3 linked regions of the Macaca fascicularis genome follow. The protein of the gene in region 3 purifies or fractionates together with the protein of the main gene of each other region. This does not show direct contact. Links are inferred from orthologs where the notes say so. Each region holds a gene or a part of one and is shown on either strand. Other genes may lie near its edges. The genes, in order: AP3B1, AP3M1 and AP3S1.

The links.
Region 1: the proteins of AP3S1 (region 3) and AP3B1 fractionate together in Homo sapiens (co-fractionation; 5 studies listed by BioGRID and IntAct, counting the BioPlex papers as one, with this or other methods). This does not show direct contact. The link is inferred for Macaca fascicularis from reciprocal best matches to the Homo sapiens genes AP3S1 and AP3B1.
Region 2: the proteins of AP3S1 (region 3) and AP3M1 purify together in Homo sapiens (co-immunoprecipitation; 4 studies listed by BioGRID and IntAct, counting the BioPlex papers as one, with this or other methods). This does not show direct contact. The link is inferred for Macaca fascicularis from reciprocal best matches to the Homo sapiens genes AP3S1 and AP3M1.

The regions. Positions count from the first base shown.
Region 1 is NC_088380.1:82,258,243-82,268,512, reverse strand, and holds the start of AP3B1 (AP-3 complex subunit beta-1), read left to right. Parts: upstream 1-4,916; 5' UTR 4,917-5,035; coding exon 5,036-5,163; intron 5,164-10,270. UniProt on the Homo sapiens protein: Subunit of non-clathrin- and clathrin-associated adaptor protein complex 3 (AP-3) that plays a role in protein sorting in the late-Golgi/trans-Golgi network (TGN) and/or endosomes.
Region 2 is NC_088383.1:72,313,489-72,323,001, reverse strand, and holds the end of AP3M1 (AP-3 complex subunit mu-1), read right to left. Parts: intron 7,178-9,513; coding exon 6,970-7,177; exon of another isoform or gene 6,948-6,969; intron 5,358-6,947; coding exon 5,213-5,357; intron 4,425-5,212; coding exon 4,324-4,424; 3' UTR 2,267-4,323; downstream 1-2,266. UniProt on the Homo sapiens protein: Part of the AP-3 complex, an adaptor-related complex which is not clathrin-associated. The complex is associated with the Golgi region as well as more peripheral structures.
Region 3 is NC_088380.1:122,426,292-122,436,753, reverse strand, and holds the start of AP3S1 (AP-3 complex subunit sigma-1), read right to left. Parts: upstream 5,024-10,462; 5' UTR 4,920-5,023; coding exon 4,851-4,919; intron 1-4,850. UniProt on the Homo sapiens protein: Part of the AP-3 complex, an adaptor-related complex which is not clathrin-associated. The complex is associated with the Golgi region as well as more peripheral structures.

The sequences.
Region 1 (10,270 bases), about 40 Mb from region 3:
TGGGAGGCCTCAGGGAACTTACAATCATGGTGGAGGGGGAAGAAGACACCTTCTTCACAAGGTGGCAGGAGAGAGAAGGGGGAAGAGCCCCTTATAAAACCATCAGATCTCATGAGAACTCACTCATTATCATGAGAACAGCATAGGGGAAACCACCTCCATGATCCAGTGACCTCCTACCAGATCCCTCCCAAGACACTTGGATATTATGGGGTTTATGGAGTTTAAAATTTGAGATGAGATTTCAATGGGGACACAGAGCCAAACTATATCAATACCTATTTACATATACGTAATAATAATAAGAATATTTACTCTTATTTCTAGATTATTAATTTTTTCTTTAAATCAGAAGTGCCGATAAAATATTATTAAATGATTTACAAACCTATCATTATAAGTTTATTAATGTTCATTCTTTTATCATATAACAAAACCTATTGTATTATTTTATGTTTTTCATTTAGCATTTGTTTAGTATTTAAATAGTCTGTTGTTCTTTTTTGTATTTAATAAAATCAGACCTACAAAATGAATTTGGAAGTGCTTTGTCTTTTTCTTTGCTAAAGTTTAAAAACAGTTTAAAATAACAGAAATAGCAAACTCCTTATAGGCCAATAGAACTATATTAGTCTAGTCCCTTTTTGGTGGTAGATTTTTGGCAACGTTTCCAATTCTCTTCTATAGTTATTTAGTTTATTCAGGTTTCCTACAACTTTTGAATCAATTTTTATTTTTTTTTGAGACAGAGTCTCGCTTCTTTGCCCAGGCTGGAGTGCAATGGCACCATCTCGGCTCACTGCAACCTCCGCCTCCCAGGTTCGAGCAATTCTCCTGCCTCAGCCTCCCCAGTAGCTGGGATTACAGGCATGTACCACTACACCAGGCTAATTTTTGTATTTTTAGTAGAGATGGAGTTTCACCATGTTGACCAGGCTGGTGTTGAACTCCCGACCTCAAGTGATCCACCCACCTTGGCCTCCCAAAGTGCTGGGATTACAGGTGTGAGCCATGGTGCCCGGCCTTGAATTGATTTTTGTACACATTCTAGATAATAATGAGAAAATGTTAACATTCAGTATCTATAAAGTATGCCTGCAAATCAATAAGATAAAAGATCCACTTAAAAATAAGCAAGTGACAAATGTGCAAAATTAATAGAAGAAAAATTCAAATAGCCATTTGATGTGTGCTTTAAATCTGTTATATTTACGGTAACCATATATACCTATTTCCCTGGCAGAGTCCTGGTTTACATGTATTTGTCCAGTCAAATTATGACTAGTATCACTTTTTGTCTCGAAAACTTCCTATTTGGGGCTGGGTGTGGTGGCTTACGTCTGTAATCCCAGCACTTTGGGAGGCTGAGGAGGGTGGATCACTTGAGGTCAGAAGTTCGAGACCAGACTGAATAACATGGTGAAACTCCATCTCTACTAAAAGTATAAAATTAGCTGGGCATGGTAGCGCATGCCTGTAATCCCAGCTACTTGGGAGACCAAGGCAGGGGAATCACTTGATCCCAGGAGACGGAGGTTTCAGTGAGCTGAGATCACGCCATGATACTCCAGCCTGGACAACAAGAGCAAAACTTGTCTCAAACAAACAAACAAACAAAAAGAAACAAAAAGAAAACTTCCTATTTGGACTATAAATTTTACTGTCTCTACTTAGAATAAATGAGATGCAAGTGTAAATGACAGTAAAGATTTTATTATTATTACCAATCAGATTAGCAAACATTAAAAAGATTTATAATATACATTGCTGGAAAGGGTGTGTTGAAACGGAAAAATATTGGTGAAAGTGTTGGTATTCTCTTTTCAGGTTAGAAATTTGGCTATATCTACTAAAATTTCAATTGCGCATATCATTTGTTCTAGCTATTGGACTTTTGGAATCTTAACTAATGGGAATAGTGGTGGCATGGTGCAAAGACATGCATTGACAAAGTTGTTATAATAGTCCAAAATTGGAAACAATTTACATGTGTATCAGCAGGCTATTGGTTAAATAAATAAAGATGCACCTATGAAAGGAAATACTATGTAGATCTTTAAAACAGTGAGATGTAGTAACATGCAGAATGATATTATGGTTTTAACTGGTATTTGGAGAAATATGCACATCTATCATTTATTTTTCTACGCTTAGAGAAAAAAGCTTGAAAATATATACAACACATTTAACATCTATATCATGAAGGTTAGATGAACAGAAACGGAAACAGAAAATTTGATAAAGGTTTTATTAAGTATTAGGGGGAAAATAGTTTTTGAAAAAAAATATCCAACTTATTTGGCAGTAATACAAGACACTACATATGCTGGAAGGAAACAGAAAATCTGGTTTGGCTTGGTAACAGGTGTCAGAGAGTAATCTTCTAGTTCTGTTAATGTTTCTTCTGGTTGGAAGTGTGATTTTTTTCCTCTGTCAGAAAGCTTCATGGCTATATAAAAGATTTTTCAATTCTAGAGATATGGGAATGCTAGACCACAGCCCATGGAGTTATTATTTTTTATCTTTCTGTAAGAATATACAGTCTTAGAATTTTAAGGCAGTAAGGGCCTCAAGTCCCTTCTTGTCAATGCTCTCATTTTTTTTTTTTTTTTTTTTTTTTTAGTGATAAAAAGAAAGTTTTATCTATTTCATCCAGGAATATATGCTCTGTATCTTACACATAATATTCCAGAGAAAAAGTTACCTATACCTGTTTTTTGAAGAATAGATATTCTTAATATCCACACCATTCAAGGACAATGTAAAAACAAAACAAAACCCCAAAAAACAAACCCCCAAAACCCAAAACCCCAATATTGTAGGTCAGTCTCCTACCTGAGTCTGTGTGAAAAAATAAAAATATTACAAAGTAAAATCAAGCAGTTAATTAAAAATAACAGACTCAAGGACAAAGAACTCTTCAAGTCCATCAGAAAAACTACTCAGTGTAAAAGTGGATAAATAGGTTCATATGCAATTCCCAGGAAATAAAATGCAAATGGAGTAACCACATAAAATATTCTCAAGTTCATTATGACCATGAAAATGAAAATTAATTACCATACAAATAATATTCCTTCATATCATATTGATGACAATAAAACATTTTTAGAAAGCTAAACGTTTGTGAGAATGTGAAGAAAGAAGATTACACACTGCTAAAATTATGCTGGAAAAAAATTTAGGATATCTGGTAAAAGTGCACAAACTCTAAAACCAAGAAATTCTATAATCAGGTATGTGTCAGATATTTTCCAGGCTATGTGTATATCAATGTTCTCCTTTTACAAATAAAGTAACCAAAGCCTAACTCTTTTTACTATTAATATATATAAAATTACTTAGAATAGTTTGTGGTATATATTAAGGATTATATAATAATATATAGTTATCTATGATCATCCTCATCTTCATTATCAATAGTCAGTTGTAGATGAAATGTTATTAATTAACATCATTAATATTGACAAACACATTTTAGGTGATCATCATTGGATCTCCGGAGCAGTATTCTAACAGTCGAATTAAAAACCTGCCAATATTTAACCAGACGATGAAGTTTGGAGGACATTCCTTCTTCTCCCACCCAGAGCCACGCTCGTGCGTGCTTCCACAGTGACAGTCTGACCTTTTGAAACTTGGAGATCATACTTTGATCCTTGAAAACGCCCCACCGCCTTCCCAGAGGCTGCCGGTCTCCACGTTCGCGTTCTACCTGGTAGAATCCCTTGACAGTTTCAGTACCTGGCCGCCAAGGCTTTGGGAGTTAACGCCTACCTGGACGGGAGGCACTGGGGAGAAGAGAGGGAAGGCTCTGAAACCCAACCGAGAAGGCGGGCTGGGGGAAGTCACTCCTGGAAAGAGGTTTTCTCGGGTGCCAGCACCCGGAGAGAGCTACTCCGGGGCCAGGCAAGCATCCCGCCTAGGCTCCCTAGTGCATATTAGTGAGTGACACGACGGCGACAGGACACAGAAGTGTCAGATGACAGCTGCGCCTGGCGCGCAAGGTGGTCCATTTTATTTTTGGTAGCTAGACGCCAGTAGGACGCACCACTTCAGCTCTAAACTGGAACTGGTGGTCCCAAGATGTTTTCTGTTCTTTTTAATTTTTTTGAGACAGGGTCTCGCTCTGTCGCCCAGGCTGGAGTGCAAAGGCGCGATCTCAACTCATCGCTACCCCCTCCTCCTGGGTTTGAGTGAACCTCCCACCTCAGGCTCAGTAGCTGGGACCACAGGCGCGAGCCACCACGCCGGCTAATTTTTATATTTTTTGCAGAGACAGGGTCTCGCTATTTTGCCAAGGCTGGTCTCGAACTCTTGGCCTCAAGTGATCCGCCCGCCTCGGCTTCCCGAAGTGCCCTACTGGCGTGAGCCACCGCGCCGGTCTGCCTCCAAGATTTTCGTTGCAAGGATGGAATGGTCGCTTCTGTGCGGATCCTCCAAACCATCGTTGGGAGAGGCCTCCTTAAAGTCTGGGAGAAAAGTTGTTTCGGGTGGATATGAAAGTAAGGCAAAGCCGGAAAGAGGAGAGTAGCCGAAACAAGCAAAGTGATCGCGATGGGTTTAGGAAAGGTGATCTGGCGTGCTAAATGGCGTTTCCGGAGAAATCCGAAAACTATTGCTTTACAAAAGTATACTAAAGAGCTGCCCTGGGTCTGGAAACCCCTTAAGGGATCAAAATGGATGCAATGGGTATCCTTCTCCAATGACACCCCTCACGGGCCGGGAGCCTGGCAGTTCGCCACCCGCTGCCTCCCTTTCCGCAGCCAGGCTCGCAGCCGCTCAGCTACCTCTAAAGCCCGGAGCAGGGAAATCCGCGCAGGCCTGGACGGCCCGGGTGGTATCCTGCCTTCCCGCACACTGCGCATGCGCAGGGGGTGGACTGCTAGGTCGGCTCAGGGAGCGGTGACGAGTCCGGAAGCGCCTGCGCGCGCTCCTCGGTACGCGAACTAGTTTTGTTCGGTGCCCTCTGGACTGGAACCTTTCGGAGAGAACCCCCGGCAGGACCAACCCCGCACCCGCCAGCACCGCGGCAATGTCCAGCAACAGTTTTTCTTACAATGAGCAGTCCGGAGGAGGGGAGGCGACGGAGCTGGGTCAGGAGGCGACCTCAACCATTTCCCCCTCGGGGGCCTTCGGCCTCTTTAGCAGCGATTTGAAGAAGTGAGGAGAAAGGTTTGGGGTACGGGGATGGGAGGGAGGAGCTGGGGACTCGGAGGAGTGGGCGCCGGGTGGGCTCCCTGGAGTGGAGCGGGGTCGCCCTGAGATCTGAGCAGAGCTGGGCGGTAACGTGTCCCACGGGTGGGTGGGTGGGGTTGGTTGGCGGTGGTGGGAGTTGGGGGAGTTTGGGGCGTGTGTGTGTAGGGGTCTCTAGTAGTTTTCAAACTTTAGTGAAAAGGAAACCGCTTGGTGAGCTTAGATCCCACCCCTGAAGACACTGATTGAATTGGACTTGGTCTGGGCTCAGGAATCTGAATTTTGAGCATAGTCTTCTAAGTTTATTTATCGTTCGCCGGATCAGACTTTGATACATTCCCTGATTAGGGTGAAACGAGTGTTTTGGTCAAGGTGAGAGTGCGAGTGTTGCTTGTGGGAAGTTATTTTGTGACCCCGGAGTGTAGGAGGAGAGAGGTGGGTTTAGGCTGTTTGAATGGACAAATTGGTTTATACCAGTATCAGTGTTCTTGGATTATATCCTTTGCACTACAGACAAAAACACCAATCCAAAATAAGCATATGAATAGAAAATATTTTAAGAGTGTTACTATGAACAAATCCTAAACTTTTACAAATTAATAATGTGAAGTTTAAAAACGAATGTTAAGATACACTTAGTTTTGTAAAAAGTATCACCGAGAAATGGAAAGAAATCCCAAGTTGTTTGTTTGGGGGGTGGGATGGTGGTATTGGGGTGGTGGTAGTGGTTAAATTTACCACAATTATCATTTTTACGTTTCTCTTATTTTAAATCTTTCATTACTAAGCAATATGGTCACATAATAGTCTGTCGCTAAATTCACGCTAAATTAAGGTAGAATAGCTGTGCTGGTAGCTTTGCAGATATGTTAGAGGGTATAATTAAAATTTAAATTAAACGTTACTAACAATATTGGGTAGTCTAGAAAGTGCTACTACTTGAAATTGGGATTACATTTTGGCTGTATTGAGGATCAAAATCATATAGATAGTATGTACGATACAATATTTTCGTTTCCTTTTTCCCAGGTTAGAAAAGTTTAAAAGTAAGGTAACTTTTCATTTTCATTTCATATAATTTTTCATTATATGCATTTGGTGATCCATTGTTCTAGAGCAAGTACGGAGCTTGTTGCCTTTACTGTTAGCAAAATGTTTAGACTGAATTAACCTGTAAATTGGCATCAATCTGTTTTGCAAATTAATTTACTTTTATGGTTTGTGAACACCCCGTGAGGGGTGTCATTGGAGAAGGATACCCATTGCATCCATTTTGATCCCTTAAGGGGTTTCCAGACCCAGGGCAGCTCTTTAGTATACTTCTGTAAAGCAATAGTTTTCGGATTTCTCCGGAAACGCCATTTAGCACGCCAGATCGCCTTCCTAAACCCATCGCGATCACTTTGCTTGTTTCGGCTACTCTCCTCTTTCCGGCTTTTCTCTTATATTTTTGTCAGATTTGGGGCCAGGCACGGCAGCTCTCGGCTGTAATCTCAGCACTTTGGGAGGCCAAGGCGGGCGGATCACTTGAGGCCAGGAGTTCGATACCAGCCTGGCCAACATGGTGAAACCGCGTCTCTACTAAAAATACAAAAATTAGCCGGGCGTGGTGCCTCGTGCTTGTAATCCCAGCTGGAGGCTGAGGCAGGAGAATCGCTTGAACCTGGGAGGTGGAAGCTGCAGTGAGCCGAGATCGCGCCACAGCACTCTAACTTTAGTGGGTGACAGAGTGAGACTCCGTCTCAAAAAAAGAAAAAAAAAAGGAAAAAGATTTTTGTCAAATTTTGACCTGATTTGGAAAAAAAAACCCAAAAAACTTATGGCCATTGACTCTGTGACCAGTGCTCTTGAGGTGACCTAATAGGTTGGATTTAAAATAAAAGTAGCTAATTGATTAGAGGTGGTATGTAATATATGCAAATAACCATGGTTGAATTGTGTTCCCCAAAAGATATTTATTGAGTGTTTGTGGCACCACTTTACATTTATTATCTCATTCAGTTTTCTTAACAACCCTGCAGGTTATTACCAGCTGCTCCCACTTTACACGTGAGGAAATTGGAGCGTGATCGTTAACTTGGGAAAGGCCGCAAAGCTAGAACATTGAACTGCCTGAATTTGAACTCAGAGGCTCTAATATTAGAGCCCATTCTCTCAAAAGTTTCGATGTCTACTTACTACTTGATGAAATGTATGGTATTTTTATTAGTGAGCGCATACAACTCACGAAAGCTTTAAAACTTTAAATAGCTCTAAGTAGTACCACCAGAGAAGCTTCCAGGGATTAGAAACATTTGGCTGTTGACCTGCAATCTAATGGAATTGTACAGAAACAAGGAGACCCCTGTTCTGGAAATGGTCATTAAATCTCTCTTGAGTCCACATTTTCTCATTTATAAAACTGTAATATTACTTGCCTTTTAAAAAAATCGAATGACATAATTTATGTAAAAAACTTGAAGCTCACCCTGTTTCCTCAGCTCTGGTTTTTAATGGTTTACTCTGATGAAATAGTTTCAAGTTTACAAAAAAGTTGCAACAATAGCACTGAGAGCAACCCTTTTGCAGATTTACCAATTAAAAAAATTGCTACATTGCTTGCCTACTGTCTCTGTCACTCACTCTCCCCATGCATATTCAGGCACATATACGTATTCATGTTATGTGTCTTCTGAACCATAGGAGACTCGGTTGTACACATCATGTTCTTTTTTTTTTTTGAGACGAGTCTCGCTCTGTCCCCCAGGCTGGAGTGCAGTGGTGCAATCTCGGCTCACTGCAAGCTCCGCCTCCTGGGTTCACGCCATTCTCCTGCCTCAGCCTCCCAGGTAGCTGGGACTACAGGCGCCCGCCACCACGCCCGGCTAATTTTTTGTATTTTCAGAAGAGACGGGGTTTCACCGTGTTAACCAGGATGGTCTCAATCTGCTGACCTTGTGATCTGCCCGCCTCGGCCTCCCAAAGTGCTGGGATTACAGGTGTGAGCCACCACGCCCGGCCCCTACATCATGTTCTTTTAAACTTAAAATCTCAATGTGTAACTTTTAAGAACAAAGATAGTCTCTTACGCAACTTACAGTGTTGATGGATTCAGGAAATTTAATGTGTGTACAATCTATAGTATGTAATCTAATTTTATCGTTTGTTCCAATAAAGGTGTTTTCTTTTTTCCCAAGAATTTTTTTCCTCAAGTACAGGATCCAGTCCAAGATAATATATTTAATTTAGTTGCCATGTCTCTTTAGTCTTCTTTAATCTGGAGTAGTTCTTGAGCCTTTTTTGTCTTTCACGACCTTGACATATCTAAGGATTGCAAGCCTATTATTTTATTTTATGTTAATCAATTTTTGGGTTTGTTGGTGTTTCCTCATGTTTAGATTCAGGTTATGTATCCTTGGCCGGAATACTACCATAGGTGATGCGTGCTTCTCAAACTATTACATTTGGAGGCGTAGGGTGTCCATCTTCATGATGTTAATTTTCCTAGTCACAGGGTTGTCCAGTTTCTCTATTGTATCATTTCTATTTTTTTTTTAATCAAATTATCTGTGGGGAGACACTGAGACCATGCAGATGTCTTGCTCTTTTTTAAATTGACCACTTCTACATTTAACAACCATTGATCAATCTCCTGAACCTGTCTTCCTCAATGGCTGCAAAATGGTAATGTTTCAGCTGCAACTCCCTCTACTGTTGTGCTCTTTGGCTTCTTGGCCTAGAGCTCTGTGTTCTCTGATCCTTCACTAACCATCTCAATGATGCCTAGGTACTTCCTAGTCATAGTATTAGATTTTTGTTTTATGAATTTAATCTTATTTATCAGTATTATTTATCCTCTCCTCCCTTCAAACAGAACCAGAACTAGATGACTTTATGAAAGTAGATCCTATACCTCATTTATTGACTAAAAAGGCCTGTGTATTAGATTATTTGCTTCAAGATTTTTAATGTCTTTATTTAAAATGTAAAGAACTTATTTTTGTACTCTCATTTTTTATTTTTTGAGACATGTCTTACTCTGTTGCCTAGGCTGAAGTGCAGTGGTGCAATCATGGCTCACCGCATCCTCAACCTCCCGGGCTCAAGTGATCCTTCGCACCTCAGGCTTCTGAGTGGCTCAGACTACAGGTTCATGCCACCATGCCCAGCTAATGTTTGTATTTACTGTAGAGATTGGGTCTTGCCATGTTGCCCAGGCTAGTCTTGAACTCCTGGGCTCAAGCAATCCGCCTGCCTCATCCTCCAAAAGTGCTGGAATTACAGGCGTGCACCACTGTGCCTGGCCCCTTCCTTCTTTTTGAAATGTTCTCAACTTCTATTGTTTCTGTTTTTTTCTAAGTTATTTTTCTTCATTAAAAAAAAACAAACTTCTTTTATCTTAACCAATTTGGGTATGTGTGCGTATAATTAAAAGTAATTTTAATAATTCTATTACTGGATTAAACATTTAATTAGGAATTAATTTCTAGAAACAAACAGACAAGACTAGTTAATTTTTCTTAATTTCAATAGTAAAGCTACTAAAGTTGTAAATCTCTTTTCTTTTAAGAGCATCATGGTGTATTAGAAAGGACATGAGGCTGGGAGTGGTGGCCCCTGCCTGTAATCTTAGCATTTTGGGAGGCCCAGGCAGGTGGATTGCTTGAACCCAGGAGTTCCAGACCAGCCTGGGCAACATAGTGAGACCTTGTCTCTATAAATAAAAACGGGGAAAAAAACCAAAAAACATTGGGCCCAGAGTCAGAAGACCTGGATTTAAGTTGATGTTTTCCACTTGTAGTAGTGCTTCCTTGTTCAAGTTGCTGATCTCTTCAAACTTCGGTTTCCTCATTTCTAGACAGGATGTGATAATACTTGCCTCTTTTGTGAGGATCTCATAAGATGGTGTACTTCAAAGTGATTTCTAAACTAGGGTATTAACTAACAGTATTTGGGAAAGTTGGTGAAGACTTCACTGAGGTAGTGACATTTTAGATCTTGAAGCCTGAGGTTTTTGCCAGGTGGAGGAAAGATGGATCCTTTAGCTAAGCAGAGTATGTAGAAACCAGAAGATTTGCAAAAGAAAAAGCATGTT
Region 2 (9,513 bases), on a different chromosome or scaffold from region 3:
CTAGGCAAAATGAGAGGGCAATGTTTCCTTTTTGGTACTTATTACTGCTAAGTATTTTCCAGCACGTGAAACCTTATTTTTCCCCAAAGCCAGAACCAGATGAGTAAAGGAGTAAGAACCCTTGCCTGAACATCCTTCCAGCTCACCCATCACTGTGTGTTAGTTCCCAACATCGAATGTGTAAAACTTAAGTTGGTCCTGTACACTCAGGCTTTCACTATTTCCTTTAAAATGAGGATGTTTATTTTCAAGGCCCTCAGCATATTTGTATAGTTGCTTGCCTGATATAAATGCAATATTAATGCCTTTAAAGTATGAATCTATGCCAAAGATCACTTGTTGTTTTACTAAAGATTTACTTAGAGGAAATAAGAAAAATCATGTTTGCTCTCCCGGTTCTTCCAGTGGTTTGAGACACTGGTTTACACTTTATGCCGGATGTGCTTTTCTCCAATATCAGTGCTCAAGACACAGTGCAGCAAATTAAAAAAAAAAAAAAAAAAAAAATCCCTGAATGATTAGAGAATCACCGCTAAAAAACTACATTTATAAGCTAGGATTTGTTATATGCAAATATTTTCTGCCTCTTCTTTTGTTCTGTTTAAAACAATAAAATGCATTTGTATAAATAATGCTTTCAATGATGGGTATGTTATTTTAGCAAGAACTTTTAGGTCAGGTTTCTCCTTTGTTTTGATGAAGAGCCAATGAAACTAATCCTCAAGATCTGGAAACTAAAGATTTTATTTAATCCAATGTTGTACTGGAAGAAGAAATCAACGGTGGTATATTTACTTAACAAGGATGTGTGTGATACAAGACAACTATGGGGATTACACACTTAAAGGAATGGAAGTGGCAAAGGTTAACAGTAGGCAGAAAGCAGCTGGATGAAACAGTTTGTTTTCACCTTAGAAGATTCTAGCTATCTGTGGAGACCATCACTGTTCCCTGAAAAGCTAAAGTTGTTAAGTTTGTAGGAGTACCACAGGTCCTTCCTCCACTGCAAGACAGAGTCTTGCTCTGTTGCCCAGGCTGCAGTGCAGTGGTGCAATCTTGGCTCACTGCAACCTCTGCCTCCTGGGTTCAAGCAATTCTCCTGCTTCAGCCTCCCATGTAGCTGGGATTACAGGCGTGCACCACCATGCCTGGCTAATTTTTGTATTATTAGTAGAGATGGGGTTTCACCATGTTGGCCAGGCTGGTCTTGAACTCCTGACCTCAAGTGATCCACCCACCTTGACCTCCCAAAGTGCTGGGATTACAGGTGTGATCCACCACGCCCGGCCACACAGGTCCGTTTTTCATATTCCAAAGCCTAGTATAGAATAAATAGGGTTTTCAGGGATCCACCAGGAAAAAGCCCTTATATGGGCCATAAGGCAGAGATAGCTTTGGGGGACACAGTCCTCTTCTTCCTTAAAGAAACACTGACTAAAATAGTAGGAGCAGGTTTTTAGAGTTGGGACATCACTGTTTTTGCCTGATTTTCTAGATCTGAAAGGGTTAACATGTAATTAAAGGGTGATGATATTGATATTTAGTGTTGCCAACTGCTGTTATCACTGCTTTATCTTGGAAAGTTGCCAAATATAAAGATAGATTCCAGCCTGTTTGAGTTAAAGCAAAGTTCAAGGCTACTACTGAATTAGCAGAACTGTCTTGTTTTTGCCATTTACCATATGTTCACTGGTGCTGCCTTCCTGCTGCAGTATAATCATTTTCTCAAATCACTTGCCGCTTAGGACAAGATCAGCATTTTCTTGATCTTGTTCTGTATTTGTTCCTGATTTTCTACTGTAGCACCACTTAAGAAATGAACCTATCACAGGAACTCCCTTTGGATAAAATAATGTGACTCCCACACACTGGAAATAATCATCTACTTCATTTGTTCTTGATATGCTTCCTTATGAATTTAGAACTAAGGGATCCAGGATTAGCTGTAACTCTGCTTGAAAAATATTTTACTACTACTAAGTATTCAGGAATCTTTGTTATCAGTAGGTGGTGGTAGTGATAGAGAAGGGAGCTTTGATCACTAATCTCTCAGACTGTGGCCAGAATGGTGATGCTTAAGCCAAGTATGAATGGCTATTAACATAACGAGGTTAGGGAAGGAGTGCTGAGAAGTGCTTTGCAGCAACACTCACAGCTTGTGTGATGATGCAGAAGAAAATCTGATCATGTTCATCCTGCTTTGACAACGAGCCTTGCCCATTGGAGAATGTTCAATCAATAGTAGACCTAAAAAAAAATCAACTTGTTGCTTTCATCTTTTTATTGATAGCATAGCCAGAGCTACCGAAATGATTTACGGGATTCTAGCAAATTAATAAATACAGTAATTTGATTGTAAAAGAAAACATTCTATTTGGACATTTTAGTAGAAATTGCTAGAAGGCAGGAGCTCCTGGCATACATTCTACTTGGATAGAAGAGAAGATAGCACAGGAGGAGAACTGGACAGTCCAGGTATAGACTGTTGAGATTAGGGATTCAGCAGAAAGCGAAGCAAATGTTCTGATTGTTCTTTTGAGGTACAAACCCTGAAGAGTCAAGACATTAAAAATAAAAAGCAACTGAACTGGGTAGCTTAACTTAGGCAAAAGGAATAAATATTTGGCAACATTTTGACTATTTGGCAGTTCTGTAAAATAACTGCCAATCTGAGATTAGTTTCTTCAGAAATATGGAAGCTGCAAAACGTTGCCTTTCTTATGCCATGAAAGACAGGGCAGACAAAGGTAAGAAAGCTGCTCCGTGGGCTCCTTGTACCAGCACCAACCAGCAGCCCTTGACAGCACAGATGGCATGAGTGTAAGGGCTATCCTTAGCATAAGGAAAAGACGGTTATAAGCTGAGAAGACTGAAAGAAGAATGGAGCTATAAAGAGAAGAAAATAGCATAAATAAGAAGGAAACATGAAGAATATCTTAACTTTCAGTCTTTCTCCATTTCTTGATGTCTAATGAGGCAAAAAATAACTGGGCAAGGACCACCAAGATGAAGAAGTTACATAAAATGACACAATGAAGTTGAGTGCAATAATACAACTGTTGACTGACTTTCCAAAACCATGGTGATCAGTACAGTATCATCAGTGTTACTGAGGATTTTGTTTCTGCCTCATTATAACTCACTTCCATGTATTTTGTCAGTATAGTAAGTATATTTAAGCACTCCAGTGACAATTATGACAATAGTTTCTGGAAGAAATCTATGACTATAGCTTTGGGAAGCACACAATATGAAAAGGGAATTTCCCCTAAAGACAAGGAATGCAGGCAAATTCAACCCCTTAAGAACAACAAAAAAGGTAAAAGATTTAGAAAGACTGATGACAGTGAGGCAGGCACATTTTCCTCCTTTTGCTGAACTGGGGCATGAGACATTTAGGTTAACCATGGCTTAACTGGTGTTGGGTAAGCTTTATATTATAAAACATTAAGATGGCAAAGGTTTCACTTAAGTTTTTCTTTTACTACTTTAATTTGCTTAAAAGCACAAATGCTTGTGCTTGCAGTAACTTCCTGAAAGCAGAAGTAATGTTCCCTTTTACTACCTTAATAAAGCATTTGCCCCTGTGATACAAATGATTTTTTTACTGTGCTAACAGCTGAACCAGTGGCACAAAATTGAGATGGTATTTACTGCAGCAAGGTCCCTGTAAATCAAATAAGCTTTACATAAAAATCTTATTTATAAAAAATACAATACCAAGTACAGAGAGAATGGAGCATGGAGCAGCAGTGCTCCCTGCCAGGGCCATGTGGAAGTGGCTTTTGCTACAGTGCTTGCTTAATGGCACAAGTGAAAAGCTGAATAAGGCAAACACTTGAAGAGGCAGTTTTCTGTAAACTTCTGGGGGTGGGGGGAATTTCCTCTCTTGGGACAGATACTGGTTTGGGATGGCTAAGATCACGTGTGATATTTGGCTGCACCTGACACATCAGAGATTTAAGATAGCTTCTGCTGGATGAGACCAGTTAACTCCTTTTAGGAGAGAGGTTATCACTATAGCTTTCTGCCTTTACTGTTACAATGTGCAGCCGTCAGATGGTATTCTCCTATGGAAAAAAAATCACCTCCAACATCTTCCTAAGTGAAAAGATACAAAATAAGCTAAGTCACTAAAAGGTTTCCTTAGCTTAAAGCTCCTTAAGAATCCTACATTGATAACTAAGCAACTTTGTTAGCGGTGTGTAGCTAGACACAAATGCTTTAACTAGAATATCTATTCCCACCCACTTGGTACCTAATAGTAATACATCATAATGACACTTGGAAAACAAACTGGTCTTGAGAAATTTTGGCCTCTTCTCATGTCCTCACTTGGAACTTTCCAGCTTTCGTGACGTATTTGACTCCTTTAAATGGCTTATATTTCTCCCCATACATGTCCAAACGGTTCACTTTTAAGCCTGTGTCAAAAAGAATGAAAAAGAATAAATTATCATCATCCCAACCAATATGTTAGCAATGAGCACTATATGGTAAATCTGACATTAACCAGTGTCCCTTCCACCATTTGGAAGAAATGTCTCTTCTATCATTTACAAATTATTGCACTTTGATGGTATGGTTTTGGTTAAGATTCACACACAGGCAGGGAATGTCTGTGAAGTATAATTCTACTTTCTATTAATATGAATAACTCCCTTTTTGGTGCTTGAATGAGGGCAGAGGTGAGGAGAAGCTGTTTGAAATAAGGTGTTCTCCAAAATCATTTGGTTGATGCCTGGGAGATGGCCCCACCAAGCACAGTGTAAAAGGCAAATGGGCTACTGCTCTTTCTTTTCTTTTTTTTTTTTTTTCTGAGACGGAGTCTCGCTCTGTTGCCCAGGCTGGAGTGCAGTGGTGCAATCTTGGCTCACTGCAAGCTCCGCCTCCCGGGTACACGCCATTCTCCTGCCTCAGCCTCCCGAGTAGCTGGGACTACAGGCGCCCACCACTACGCCTGGCTAATTTTTTGTAGTTTTAGTAGAGACGGGGTTTCACCGTGTTGACCAGGATGGTCTTGATCTCCTGACCTCGTGATCCTCCCGCCTCGGCCTCCCAAAGTGCTGGGATTACAGGCGTGAGCCACCGCGCCCGGCCAAAGGGCTACTGCTCTTTCTAGAGAGGGAAACTTTTGTTACTCTTCTAAGTGCCTAATAATTGAGCTTGCAAAACTCAATTACCCTTAACTACAAGTCAACCTTATCCTTACCTGAAATAGCAAGCTGCTGGATCTTAAACTGTATATTGAGGCTCGGATTCTCTTCTGGTTTGGGGGCTCCAGACTGTAAATTTACCAGTCCTTTAAGACTTGGGAGCTTTTGTGGAGTAATTTTTCCCACATCCCATGTTAGTACCTTAAAAAGACAAAGAATGAAAAACAAATAGAACCATTTATTAAAGACAAACCCTCCAAAACAAGGTTCAAAGACATCATAAACTTCTGTATCATAAACTTCTGTAAAAATGAAGTGCAGTCTCTTGAAAACAAGAGATCTGGGATCTACAGTGAGTTTACCTCTGATTAGCTCTGTGACTTTGAATGGGGAGTGAGGACAGAGAATCTACATTTGTTGAGCATTTTCTTTTGTATTAGCACCGTGCTTAGCACTATTCATATGTTATCTCATTGAGGGCTGTGAAGTAGCTTTTGTCTTCTATTTACAAATGAGGAAATTAAGGCTCGGAGATCAAATGACTTGCTCAAGGTTACACAGCTAGTCAGAGGTAAGGCTGGGATTTGAACCTAAGGCTCTCTGATTTCAAATGTTCTCCATCATACCATCTTCACTACTTTTCTCTGGGCCTGTTTCTTTTTCTTTTTTTTTTTGAGACAGAGTTTCGCTCTTGTCGCCCAGGATGGAGTGCAATGGCGCAATCTTGGCTCACCACAACCTCCGCCTCTCGGGTTCAAGCAATACTCCTACCTCAGCATCCCAAGCAGCTGGGATACAGGCATGCGCCACCATGCCTAGCTAATTTTGTAGCTTTAGTAGAGATGGGCTTTCTCCATGTTGGTCAGGCTGGTCTCGAACTCCTGACCTCAGGTGATCCGCCCACCTCGGCCTCCCAAAGTGCTGGGATTACAGGCATAAGCCACTGTGCACGGCCTCTGTTTATTTTTCTGTAAAATAATTAGATTGACTTAAGATGGTGTTTTTAAAACTTTTAGCTGTGAAACTCATTGTTCAAATGAAATCTTAGGTGTGGAGGCTCAGCAGCAGATGAGAAAGAAAGCAAAGCTGTCATAGTTGAAGCTGTGGTAAAGGGCCAGGAATCTGAAGCTCCCTTTCTCAGCCCTGTGTGGTCTCCAGGAGGTTCTTTGAATCCTTACAACTGCATTAAATAATCTTTAACATCCTATGATGTTATTCAAAAAACATGTCTTTTCATTTATCAGGTAGCTCAATGACTCTGCTATTGAAAACAATCATATTTACTAGCTAATCAGGAAGCTGAGAGAAAATCATCTGCTACAGTTTCTCTGAAAACCCTCTGCTACAGGAAAATTTAAGTAGGGTGAGGAAGCAGCTTTCCTAGCCCTGTGAAAGAGTATGAAATGATGCTTTTAAATTAAAAAGGAAGAAAAAGGTCTTAATGATCAATTTATATAGAAAACTTAATAATTCATATACCATCATAATATCTTCTTCTACATAATGTTTTCTCTTTTTAAAAAAGCTTTTACTTCTTTCTTATTAGATAGCAGAGGCTCTGGATTAATAATGGATGAGTGAAGGCACATTCTGAAAAAGGACAGAATGACACACTTTTCTGTTCATCTGCTCAGTAGCAGCTGCAGGATTCCTTTGGCAGCCAGTGGCAGAAGCACAGCACAGTATACTCTCTAGGTTTTGATACGAACTTTAGTTTTAAACAAGGTGCTAAACCTTTCCCTCCATTCCTCCCCACAAATCACAAAATAGATTGCAGAAACACTTGCTCACTCTTGATTTGAAGTGGCTGTACCTTGGTGACTGGATCAAATGTATAGCTGCCTTGTGTGGTTGTCAGGTTCATGTTCAGCACAACTTTTGGCATGTGAACTGTCACTGTAATTCCTTCAATAGTTTTCCCCATATTCTGCTTTGGTCCAATTGTTATATCAAATCTGCCACAAGAACTGTTCTCTTTAAAGCTGATACTATGTTTCACATACACTGGTATTGCCACTAGACTAAAAAGAGAAACAGAGAAAGATACAAAAGCATAAACACAATTAATGGTGTGGGGAAAGCATCAGAGGTATCCTGAAAACCTCTGTCCAGAGTATCCTACTGTACCTTTAACTCCACAATAAGGTGCTACAGAGTTGGCTCTCTGTAGCCACAGTTATGCATCCTTGAATTTGACCAGTTGAGGACTGAAAATATTATTTAACACTATCGGCCAGGCGTGGTGGCTCATGCCTGTAATCCCGGCACTTTGGGAGGCCGAGACCGGCGGTGGGAGGGGATCACCTGAGGTCAGGAGTTTGAGACCAGCCTGGCCAACATAGTGAAACCTCATCTCTACAAAAATACAAAAATTAGCTGAGGCTGGGTGTGGTGGCTCACACTTGTAATCCCAGTACTTTGGGAGGCTGAGGTGAGGAGTTCAAGACCAGCCTGGCCAACATGGTGAAACCTCGTCTCTACTAAAAATACAAAAATTAGCTGGGTGTGGTGGCTTGTGCCTGTAGTCCCAGCTACTCAGAAGGCTGAGGCAGGAGAATTACTTGAACCTGGGAAGTGGAGATTGCAGTGAGCTGAGATTGCGCCTCTGCACTCCAGCCTGGGCAACGGAGCGAGATTCCATCTCAAAAAAAAAAAAGAAAAAAAAAAAAATAACAATACAACTACAAAATATAATAAAAATAAAAAGTCAACCTGGTATAACAATTATTTACACAGTGTTTACAGTGTACTATCACAAGTAACTTGGAGATGATTTTAAGTACCCAGGAGGATGTGCATAGGTTATATGCAAATACTACACCATTTTATATAAGGGACTTGAGCATCTGCTGATTTTTGCAACCAATCCTCCAAGGATACCAAGATGGCGGTACCTCCAGAACTGCAGATTCAGCATCTACACAAGGGGGAGCTGAGTATAGCATAATGTTCTGGTACCACTGTGCTGGGAACTGTATACAAATCAAGACAGAAATCTGAAGTTTAATAACAGTATAAACAATTGGGGGTGGCTGGGTGCAGTGGCTCATGCCTGTAATCCTGGCACTTTGGGAGGCCAAGGCAGGCAGATCACTGGAGGTCAGGAGTTTGAGATCAGCCTGGCCAACATGGTGAAACCCCCTCTCTACTAAAAAAAGTAACAAGAAACAAAAATTAGCTGGGCGCGGTGGCGGGCGCCTGTAATCCCAGCTACTTGGGAGGCTGAGGCAGAAGAATCACTTGAACCCAGGAGGTAGAGGTTGCCATAAGCCAAGATCACAGAATTGTACTCCAGCCTGGGCGACAACAGTGAAACTCCGTCTCAAAACAAACAAACAAAAAAACCAAAAAAACATAAAACAAACAAACAAAAAAAAAACAATTGGGGCAAATGGCCCTAGTTTAAAAAAATGAATTACGATCCCACTGAAAAATAATGTAAAATATGTTTTATATAAATGAAAACAGTTCCTATGTGATGAGTCAAGAAACAGGCTGGGTGCGGTGGCTCACGCCTGTAATCCCAGGACTTTGGGAGGCTGAGGTGGGCGGATCACCCAAGGTCGGGAGTTCGAGACCAGCCTGACCAACATGGAGAAACCCTGTCTCTACTAAAAACACAAAATTAGCCGGGCGTGGTGGTACATGCATGTAATCCCAGCTACTTGGGAGGCTGAGGCAGAGAATCACTTGAACCCTAGAGGTGGAGGTTGAGGTAAGCCAAAATTTCACCACTGCACTCCAGTCTGAGCAACAAGAGCCGAACTCCGGTTCAAAGAAAAAAAGAGCCAAGAAATAATTTGTCTGCTTTTGAGTCCTGTCATAATGTTACTCAAATAACTTCTGGTATTTTCAAGAAACAAACTAGCTATAAAACTACGATCCCCAATGCTAAATTTTTTTTTATTTTTTTGAGATGCAATTTCACCCTCTTGGCCAGGCTGGAGTGCAGTGGCATGATCTGTCACTGCAACCTCTGCCTTCCAGGTTCAAGTGATTCTCATGCCTCAGCCTCCCAAGTAGTTGAGATTATAGGCACACGCTATCACGCCTGGCTAATTTTGTATTTTTAGTAGAGACAAGGTTTCACCACGTTGACCAGACTGGTCTAGAACTCCTGACCTCAAGTGATCTGCCCACACTGGCCTCCCAAAGTGTTGGGATTACAGGAGTGAACCACTGCACCCGGCTCTCAATGCTAAACAGTTCCTTAAAACCTCGAAGCAGAGAAGACTGACTTGAAGCAGGTAAGTTTGGGAATGTCCTCACGAACTACAGGTAGGTCTGTCTCCTTGTTAGCCACAAAGTCTACAGACTATGGTAAGATTATGGCAGTGGTTCATGGTTTTGCCCAGGT
Region 3 (10,462 bases):
TTTAATTTTGGAATCCGTCTACTACTCTGCACTTCCTATAATGTACCTCACATAGTTCTTTCTAAACATTTGAGTCAGGCTACATAAAACCCAATTTATGCAGACAAATGCATTATAACTAATATGGAAGGAAACCAAATCGTATGGAATTTTCTTCTTAACAAAAAGCTGAAATGCCATGTGTTAATACGTGTTAACACCCTCATACTCAGCAGTGTTGATAATTCTATCTTGATCACAGACTTAAGTTTAATTATCCCATCTGCCACAATGTCTTAATAGTCACTAAAAAAAGACATCAGTGAACATGGATGGATCTTTTTAAGGGATATTTTTAAAAGAAAAAATGTTATCTATACTTTCAATACTTTGTATTTTTATGCTAAAAATTTAAAAGAAAAACGGGAAAGAAGAATCTTAGAGTTTCTCCTAAGGCTTGCATTTGGTTAACAGTTTAATTAAATATAGTTTATTAAAAAATTGAGGCAACTCATATACATTAACTTGAAAATTTTCCGGCTTGTACTTCATATATGTGTGGTGTGTACGCACACATGCATATATACACATGGTATTTTATATCTGCAGAAACTACTAAGATAATCCACACAAAAGAAAGACATTTCCACTTTATAAAAGTAATTCACAGGCCAGGCATAGTGGCTCAGATCTTTATCCCAGCACTTGGAGAGGCCAAAGTTGGAGGACTGCTTGAGGCCAGGAGGTTAAGACCAGCCTAAGCAAAGTGAGACCTTTTCTCTATAAAAAAAATTTTTTTTAAGTAATTCACCAGAGGATACACTATGGAATCATAACCCAAGAGATTTTTTTGTTTGATAGCTATGTAAAAATATATTTGGTTTATAAGATATAAGTCTCATTAGTTATTTACAGTAACGCACAAATACTGTTAGGCAAGTATTAAAAGACTAAAGGTTACTGCTGCCAAGTCGCTGAAGCTACGCATCAACTTAAAAAGACAAATGAAGAAAAATATTTGAATTTGTGCAGTCATAGACCAAGGATATAGAAGGCAAAAACAAAAAGGGAGGCATTCTGAGTACAGACTGGAATTTTTTTTTTTTTTGAGACGGAGTCTCGTTCTGTCACCCAGGCTGGAATGCAATGGCACGATCTCAGCTCACTGTAGCCTCTACCTCCCCAGGTTCAAGCAATTCTCCTACCTCAGCCTCCCGAGTAGCTGCAATTATAGGCGTGCGCTACCATGCCTGGCTAATTTTTGTATTTTTAGTAGAGATGGGGTTTCACCATGTTGGCCAGACTGGTCTTGAACTCCTGACCTCAGGTGATCCGCCTGCCTCAGCCTCCCAAAGTGTTGAGATTACAGGCATGAGCCAAGGCACCCAGCCCACACTTGAATTCGTAATGTCTAACTCTAGCAGAATGAACCAAAACTTCCGTTTAGCAAAACAGGTGTGTGACTTCATATTTCTCACATATAGCAGCTTGGAGCCACAATTTAATCTAACAATCCATTACAGCATGAAATGGAAATGTGCACTGTTAAAGGGCAGATGAATATATAAGTTGTTATATTATGAGGGAGATAAACGAGGAATGAAAATGCAATGCAGTAGCATAAACTTGTTGGCAAAGGGTTAAACATTTTTCAAATGGCTTAGTGTTAAACCATTACTGTTGGACTCAAACCTCAGCATCCTGCCAGCATATGGAATCGTTAGCTCAGTCACATCCCTAGATATTGTTCAATAAATTAAACTCAAAATTTTTATTCATATTGGACATATACGTCTTAGAGACCTCTTAAAACAGAAACAGCTGAGTAACAGGTATTCCATCACTACTTTTATGCTAAAGGCAGAAATTCGTAAAACCTCTAGTTAGTGAAGGACTACATTTTAAAAGACAGACGGAAACTCAGGAAGTCAATTCTAATCCAAACTCTATCCCAAGCTAGGAGATTCTAAATAAATGCATTTAGCAAAGAGTTAGTTTTCTATGTTCAAGCCTCAGTGTTGACTGCTAAGAATGACACAAATATCTCTAAAATCTCATACGTTCCTTCAAGTATTCTATAGGATGGCTGCCACGAGGAATTACAGGCTGTGAACAAGAATATTGTGCCATAACAAAGATAAAAAATAAAATCCTAAAACACAAGAGGAGCCTTTGAGCAAGATCAAAGGCTTCACAGACTGTTTAGGTGACGTTTGTGCTGGGCCTAGAACAAGGGGTTGAATTTGTACACGTGGCAACGGAAAGGAAGGACATTCCAGGCAGCAAGAATAGAATGACGCCCTACACAGACACTTTCAACTCATGTTCCCTTACACAGTCTGCTCCTGCTATGTAGAAATTCCTGGGGTTCTTCCAACAGGCACTCTCTTCAGGGTTTTTGCATTTGCTGCTCCTTGTACCTGGGATGCTCTTCCCCTAGATATCTGGAAGGCTGCCTTTCTTACCTTGTTCAAGTCTTTGCTCAAATGCTACCTTCTCAGTGAGAACTTACCAGACTATCCTATTTTCAACTGTCATCCTCTCAGTCTCTAAGACTGTTCCGTGCTTTATTTTTTTTCCACAGCACTTAATACTATCTGGCATGCTATAATATAGCCTACTCCTTAATAGCTCTATCTATGTTTCTCAAGCAAGGGCAAAAGTTATCTGTTCATCTTCAGATTTTAAAACTGTTTCTGCATATGGTAGGCATGAATTAAATATCTGTCGACAAACTGATGGAATGAATGAATGAAAAAAAAATAACTGTCCTCAAAAAGGTTATGGTCTAGTGGAGGAAGCAAATATGTAAATAATCTTAAATTATTCCCGAAAGACAAAAAAAACCACACTCAGCAAAACCCAACTTATAGAAACTTAATACACAGAAACAACTTCTCATACTCCACTTATACATGGCCAGTGACCACCAGATTCTTCTTTATATATCTTCTAGCTCTCTGCCCTCAGTGGCACTGTCACTCATACCATGGCCAAAAATGCCACCAGAGCTGCCACTGCTGCCAGAACTGCCTCTTCCCACATTAACCGTCACTGCTACCTAGTGAGTGATGGTAAACAATACTTCTGTTCCACTTTTGGACAAGGGAAAGGCAGATTCCTGAGTTTCTAAATTAAATGCATTTTTCAGTAGATAGTTACATTCTATACTACACGAATAGTATACACTGATTATATGGATTAGCCAGAAAACCCACTGTTTTGAACATTGCTTAAGTTTAGATATGGAAAAATAATTTTTTGAATTGTTTCACTATTGCAACATACCTTTTTTATACTGCAAATGGATGACACTGGCAAAATGGTTATGAAAAAGATTCCTTCAATAAAGGCCGGTACTATCTTTTAACAAACAGGTAAAGTTAATGGCATTTTTTTCACTCGGGAGGATCAACTAGAATTTAAGCTGGATTACAGAATGATGTAGAATTTTTAAACAGACCATCAGTATTTAAGTTATACTAAATTAAAACCACACAGGAGTAGCAGAAAATATTCTTTATAGCTAGCAAAAGCAAAACAACTGAAAAAAAAATGAAGAATAAGCTCAAGATTTCTCACTTCAACTAACACCTCCACAGACTGCATTATCATTTTAGGCAAACTGACATTTTAACATTTACTTTGTAACGGCAAGATTGATTTCCATCTGGGACTTATCTGCATAAAAGTGTTAGCCTTGGCACAATTTCAAAATTGAATTGAAAGCTCATTTCTGGCTATAAGCAAAGTGCCACAATACCACACAACAGTTACACCTCACATTAATCCTACCACTGGGAACCCAATTTTATGTGTTTCAGCTAGTGAATTTTCGCTCAGATGAGCACATACCTCTATAAAACCCTTCCTCGATCATCAATAAATCACTTATCTCTACTACCTTAATGCCTCCTGCACTTGTCCATACTAAACAGTATTCACACATCTAAAAGAGAAGTTCTACAAATGCTACTATTCTTCATAAATAGAAAAAAACTATAAATGATGGCAAATTCCCATACGTGGAAAAATGCCAAACCAGAAGCTTAACTTTTAGGTATAGAACCTAAAACTTTTAGGTAAAGAATCATAACTTTTACGTATAGAACCACAGTTCCAATCACTCAACTACAAACGTCGCCGGTTACTTCGAGGGTAAATAATTTGCAGCCAGCTGCTAAAAGGCCTGATAAAAACATTAGGTCCTCACGTATCTTCCTCTTTAATAAGGAGGCACCTGAAAGTCACACTGGGCAGTCGGTCACGTATCGAAACATACAGGAGAGAGACTGTACAGAGCGTGCAGTTATCAAACGCAGGAAGCCAAAGTTCCTGCCCTATGAGAGGATTACAGTGAAAACCAGTAGCCCATCTGTCCAAAGAACAGAAAGAAGTCCACTTGCAAAGGCTGGGAGTCGGGGAAGGGGGGCGAGAAGAACAAGTCCCGCCCGGTCTTCCTCCTCCCGAGCTAACTGCAGCCGCGGGCGGCACAAGGCAGTCGCGCGGGATTGGCTCTTGGGGCCGGGGCGCAGGGCTCCGGGGCGCGGGTGGGCTGCCGCTGCCCGATCGGCGAGGGCCAGGCACCGGGAAGTCTCCAGGGCCTCGCCCGCGCAGCCGGGAAGGCACGCAGCCCACCGACGGGCGGAGGAACCGCCCGGGCAAAGCCACGTCGGTGGCTGACCGCGCGGCAGGGAGGTGGGCACCCCGTCCACACCCACCGGGAGGCTGACAGCCGGCGAGAGCCAGGCGGCCAGGATGGGAGAAGGGCCGCAGCGCGCCGGAGGGGGTCGCTCTGAGGAAGCCGCGCTGGGCGCTGCCCGTCGCCAACGACTCCCCCTCGCCCGGATCAGCAGCAGCTGGATACTCACGTAGGGTTGGTAGAACTTGGAGAGCCGCGGCTTCCCGTGGTTGTTGAAGATTAGGATCGCCTTAATCATGGCTGTGCCTGGCCGACCGGGTGGGCACTGGGGGCCAGGGCGGGGGCGGGCGCACGAGCCTCGCCTCGTAATCTCGCCGGCGATCCTTCCCCACCCGCCCCCTCCCGTACGCGCCCGCGCGCGCTCCCGTGTCGCCGGGCGGGGCCCGAGAGGCGGGGCCTGGGCGGGGCAGGCACTGAGGAAAGCGGAAACATTTGTAGGTCCGAGCCAGCGGCCCAACAGGGGAGTGTGCGCATTCGACCAAGCACGAAGACGTTGCCCACCTCTCCTTTACTGAGGTCTGTAGTCGCGGAGAAACACATGTTGCGTTATTAACGTTCAGAAGTCTGCCACAGCTTCGATTTGAATGACTTGCCAGGAACACCAAGTTTCACTGTGGAATTGGGTTCCCCTTCTCCGGCGCCTCCTTTGCTACGCTCTCTGGAGAAAAAGCACGCCCACTGCACGCGCTCAATCGCTACTTCCGTTCTCCAATCTCTCCAAGCAAGATGGCGGAGGAGCCGCAGTCCATGTTGCAGCTTCCTCCCTCAAGTGCTGCTGGAGGGGAAGGACCTACGGAGGTCTCCCCAGAAACAACCACCCCGGAGCCCCCGTCTTCCGCTGCAGTTTCCCCGGGAACAGAGGAACCTGCTGGCGACACCAAGAAAAAAAGTAACTGAATTTATTTCCGGGCAGAGAGGCGGGAGGTTCAGATTGCATCCGACTGGGGGTGGCGGCCAGTAAAGAAGCAAAATTTAGAGGAACTCCCGTCCTAGACCTGCATTTTGACTAGTCATCAGAAGAAGTGTACTTTTTGATTTTTAAGGCTTATGAGTTGAGTGTTAAAATACTATGTCTGTCGGTGTAGGTCCTGATACTTGGCTGCCACACCCCTTTCTATATTCTTTGAGTTGGCCAGACTGCAAGCTCTTTGAAGGAGGGAGGGAGCTGAGTGGGGGTTCTCGGTAATTCCAGGTACTTAACACAGGAGCTAATTATTTTAATAATGTTTTAAGGTGGTAGGGATGGTCACTGGCAAAGCCTGGATTAGAATTCACGCCTTCCGACTTACTCGCTTTTTTGGTTTTTTCCCCCTCCCAGTTGGTTGTGAATTCGCTCCTTAAACCAAAAACCAAATTCTTACGCAAAATGAAGACTGCTAAGGGAAAGCTAAAGGCATAGATGTTACCTTTTTAAGAAACACATTTTGGAACCTTTTTGAGTTATTTCATTGCTTGAACCAGCTATCCTCAACCCTTTATTGTTTGAGAATGTTTTCCTTTGTAAAAGAGATTTCCAAGGTTACGTGTTCTAAAGCACTCTCTAGAGTTAGAGTTGCCTATGAGAAAAGCAGCATATAAGCATCCTCGATTCAGAGAGGCTGATTTTGTCCATAGACAAGTTTTCCGCGTTCAGTCTTAAGATGACAGTGGTCTCTGGCAGGGCGCGGTGGCTCAGGCCTGTAAATCCCAGCACTTTGGGAGGCCGAGGCGGGTGGATCACCTGAGGTCAAGAGTTCGAGACCAGCCTGGCCAACATGGTGAGACTCCGTTTTTACTAAAAATATAAAAATTAGCTGGGCGTGGTGGCGCGCGCCGGTAATCCCAGCTACTCGGGAGGCTGAAGCAGGAGAGTCGCTTGAACACACGAGGCGGAGGTGGCAGTGAGCGGAGGTCGCGCTGTTGCACTCCAGCCTAGACAACAAGAGCGAACTCCACCTCAAAAAAAAAAAAAAAAAAAAAAGACATTGGTCTCATTGCCTTTTCTTCAACTTCTGCTGCTGTGGAGGATAATTCTCTCCCAAGACTGCCCCCCTCCCCCTTTAAGTCAGACTCCCATTTCCACGTGATGCACTGTGAGACTTTTCATGGATAGCCGCTAGAATCTTTCTTCAAAAGAATTCCGCAGGTTTTACAGTTTTTTGTTGCGTTTTTTCTTCCAATGTACTATAGGCAAGAGCGGACTTTCCGAGATTCGTTTTAAGGTCTAACAGTCTTAGTCAAAAGCTTATTACTTGACCCTGATGATAGCTGTGTGAAAAGCTAAAAAAACAGTGGCTTACAATCGAAATATTGCTCGAGGGCATATTTTCTTGGTCTGAACAGTATTTTTTGCAAATTGAACTGTCATTTAAGGATCAGATTTTTATTTTCTGGCTCTTGTTAGCATTTGAGTTTGCCTCTCCAATATAAAACTTTCTATTCCTAACCTATTTCTAACTATTCCTACCTTGAGGTTGTCATCATTTGTTGAGGATAATCTGATGAAAGCAGCTTAACTGTTTTGTATCCTCAGCCTTTGTTTTAATCTACAGAAGAAAGATTGTTGAAACAGACCAAGGTTTTGGCACTGGCGGTATGTTAGGTTACCTGGGGAGTAAGTGTTTTCCTAGTTGATTCTAATGTGTATCCGGGGTTCAAAACTACAGGCAAATTACCTTTAAAATTAAAAAGAGAGGGCAACTGTAATTAAATTATTTTCCTTCTCTAGTTTCTCACTGTCTTACACTTCTTCCTGAGGTAGCATAACTCATGATATTTTCTGCTTCACTTTCTGGAAATGTTTAATTGCGTTAATCGATTTACTGATAGCCCCAGGGGATTGAGGGAGCAGTGAAGGGAGGTATGAAAGATAGGATAAATAAAATCCCATGTTTTCTCCAAATACATTCCTATTCCCGAGATAACTGGGCCTAGGATAATTAGTTCTTTAGTAGGAAGATAAAATGTGCATGCATCATGTGTTCTAGATGCCTTCATTCCAGGGGTAAACTTGAATAAATTGACCTCTGATCTTTCGGCTCCAACATTTAATACCAAAAGAATGGAGCAAGAAGGGTGTAGTAGAGTAGAGTTAACTTTAGGGGGCAGCAATACACTATTTTGCTTTCAATGTGTCTTGGTTTTTGACTGCAGATGTCTTTTTTTTTTTTTTTTTTTTTGAGAGGATGTCTCAGTGTGTCACCCAGGCTGGAGTGCAGTGGCGCATCTCGGCTCACTGCAACCTCCGCATCCCGGGTTCAAGTGATTCCCCTGTCTCAGCCTCCCAAGTAGCTGGGATTACAGGCATGCACCACCACCCCTGGCTGATTTTTTGTATTTTTAGTAGAGACGGGGTTTCACCATGTTGGCCAGGCTAGTCTTGAACAAGAAGTTGGAAGGGGACTGGGCCCTCTTGAACTCCTGACCTCAAGTGATCCTCCTTCCTTGACCTCCCAAAGCGCTGAGATTACTGGCGTGAGCCACCTTACGCGCCTGGCCAGATGTTTGTTTGTTTGTTGTTTTTTAGCAAATAACTTTATTCAAGAGACAGATTCATAGGGTTTGGATTTGCATATCTGTGTTTTGGATCATTGAAACCTTAAGATTTCTCTTTCTGCAACTTTTTGGCCTTTGGTGGTTCTATTATTGTTCATAACTTACTGCTTTCCTTTATTGAAAAGTTTATTACAGAAAATTTGGTAGTTACAAAAAGCATAAGTAAAACCAAGTAACCATTGCCTACAATGTCACTAATGAGAAATAACGTTTTGGTGCATATTCTTCCATATTTATGTGAATGTGTTTTTGATGGTTTCTAATGCATTTGAGATATTATACATGCTGTTGGAGAGATTAAATATCCACATATATACCCAGCAAATGGCAGAGCCAGGATTTGAACCTCAGGCAGTTTAAAGTATATGCTGTTTACTACATTCCATTTAATCAGTCACCTCCAAATATCCTTTGGATATTTAGGTTTACCAGTGTTTCATATAAAAATAAATGCTTAAACGGAGGTGAAATGTTTTTAAGTGAATTTTTACACATCTCGTATTTTCTTAGACTAGATTTCTAGAAGTATTATTGAATCAAAGTATACCTTTATTGGGATCTGTATTACCATATTGCATTCCACAAAGAGTGTACCATTTTACATTCTCAGAAGTAATATCTACACTGGTAATTATTTTAATTTTAAGTAGTTTGGTGGGTGAAAAGGGACATGACATTATTTTACTTTGCTTTTTGTGAACTTAAATATTGTTTTTGTATTGATCATTTGTATTCTCTTTGGAATTGCCTGTTAAGATAAAATGCATTTTAAAAATTAGTCCTGTTGGGAGAACTTCGTAGGATCAAGAAAAAAATTACGGAAAAGAATCTAACATTTTTATACCTCTCACATATCTTCAGTATCATAAATACATAAGATGGATGTAGATTAAATATTTCTGATTTCTAAGTCTTTTATATTCCATTCTCTTTAGACGTTTTCATGTAATTGTCAGTAAATTTTATTCTTTTACAGTTGACATTTTGCTAAAGGCTGTGGGAGATACTCCTATTATGAAAACAAAGAAGTGGGCGGTAGAGCGAACTCGAACCATCCAAGGACTCATTGACTTCATCAAAAAGTTTCTAAAACTTGTGGCCTCAGAACAGTTGGTATGAAACCAATAGTGACGTTTTCCTACAAAAATTTTCAGTAGTTCCTAGGCAACAATGAATTAACTGTTGTTTATAGAAATGCATATGGAGCCACATATGTTGCTTTTGTTATGCCCTTTTATCCTTTTATTTTTATTTATTCATTTTCTTTGAGACAGTCTCGCTCTGTTGCCCAGGCTGGAGTACAGTGACTCACTGCAACCTTCTCCTGGTTCAAGCGATTCTCCTGCCTCAGCCACCCGAGTAGCCAGGATTACAGGAGTGCACCACCATGCCTGGCTAATTTTTGTGTTTTTAGTAGAGACGGGGCCACCTCAGAAGTGCTGGAATTACATGAGTGTGCCACTGTGCCCTGCCTTATCTCTTGTTAGTGGAGTTTATATACTTTATCAAAGGATTCTCTGGGGAATTCTGAAATGAAATGTTTTAGATTTGTTTTACAATGTGAACCATTTTATTTATGCCTCCTGTATTGTTTTCCTCAGAAAGTCACTGAATACCCGTGCAGAAAAATCTATCATAGAGCATTACAATATCTGTACATTACTACAAAAGTTTTGGATTTTTTCAATTTGTTTTGATAGCAGTTACTTTTTTCCTATTTTTCTTGAGATAAGCAATGTATCTTTGCCATATATTGTAAAAGAACTAAGAAATATTTCATGTTACAGTACACATTAAGCACTTCACAGGGGCAGTTGTAGTAAAGGTTAATTCTTTAAATGCCACTGCATTTTAACTTGGCATTTGACTACAGAAATTTAAATGTCTACATGTATTTGGCATATTAAGTGTTTTTTATATATACAATTTATATATATCAGACACCTTTATCTGCAAATAGATCACAATCTTGGATAGTATTAACTCAGGTAGCATGAGTGAATAGGTAGTTGAAGAATCGCTATGTATTTTTTAAATAAAATCAGGAATTTTTGTGTGGGGGTGCTAGGGGGAATTATTTGCTTCTGAACACAGGTGTGTGCATGGGTAAAGCAAGTGAACTATCATTAAAGCAGGACATGTTGGAATTTCTTTTTGTCAGGGAGGAGCAAAAAACTGACTCTGATCTAAGAGTTTGGCTGCAAGTGCTCTCACAAAGGTGAAGCTAAATGGAAAAGTCAGGGGAAT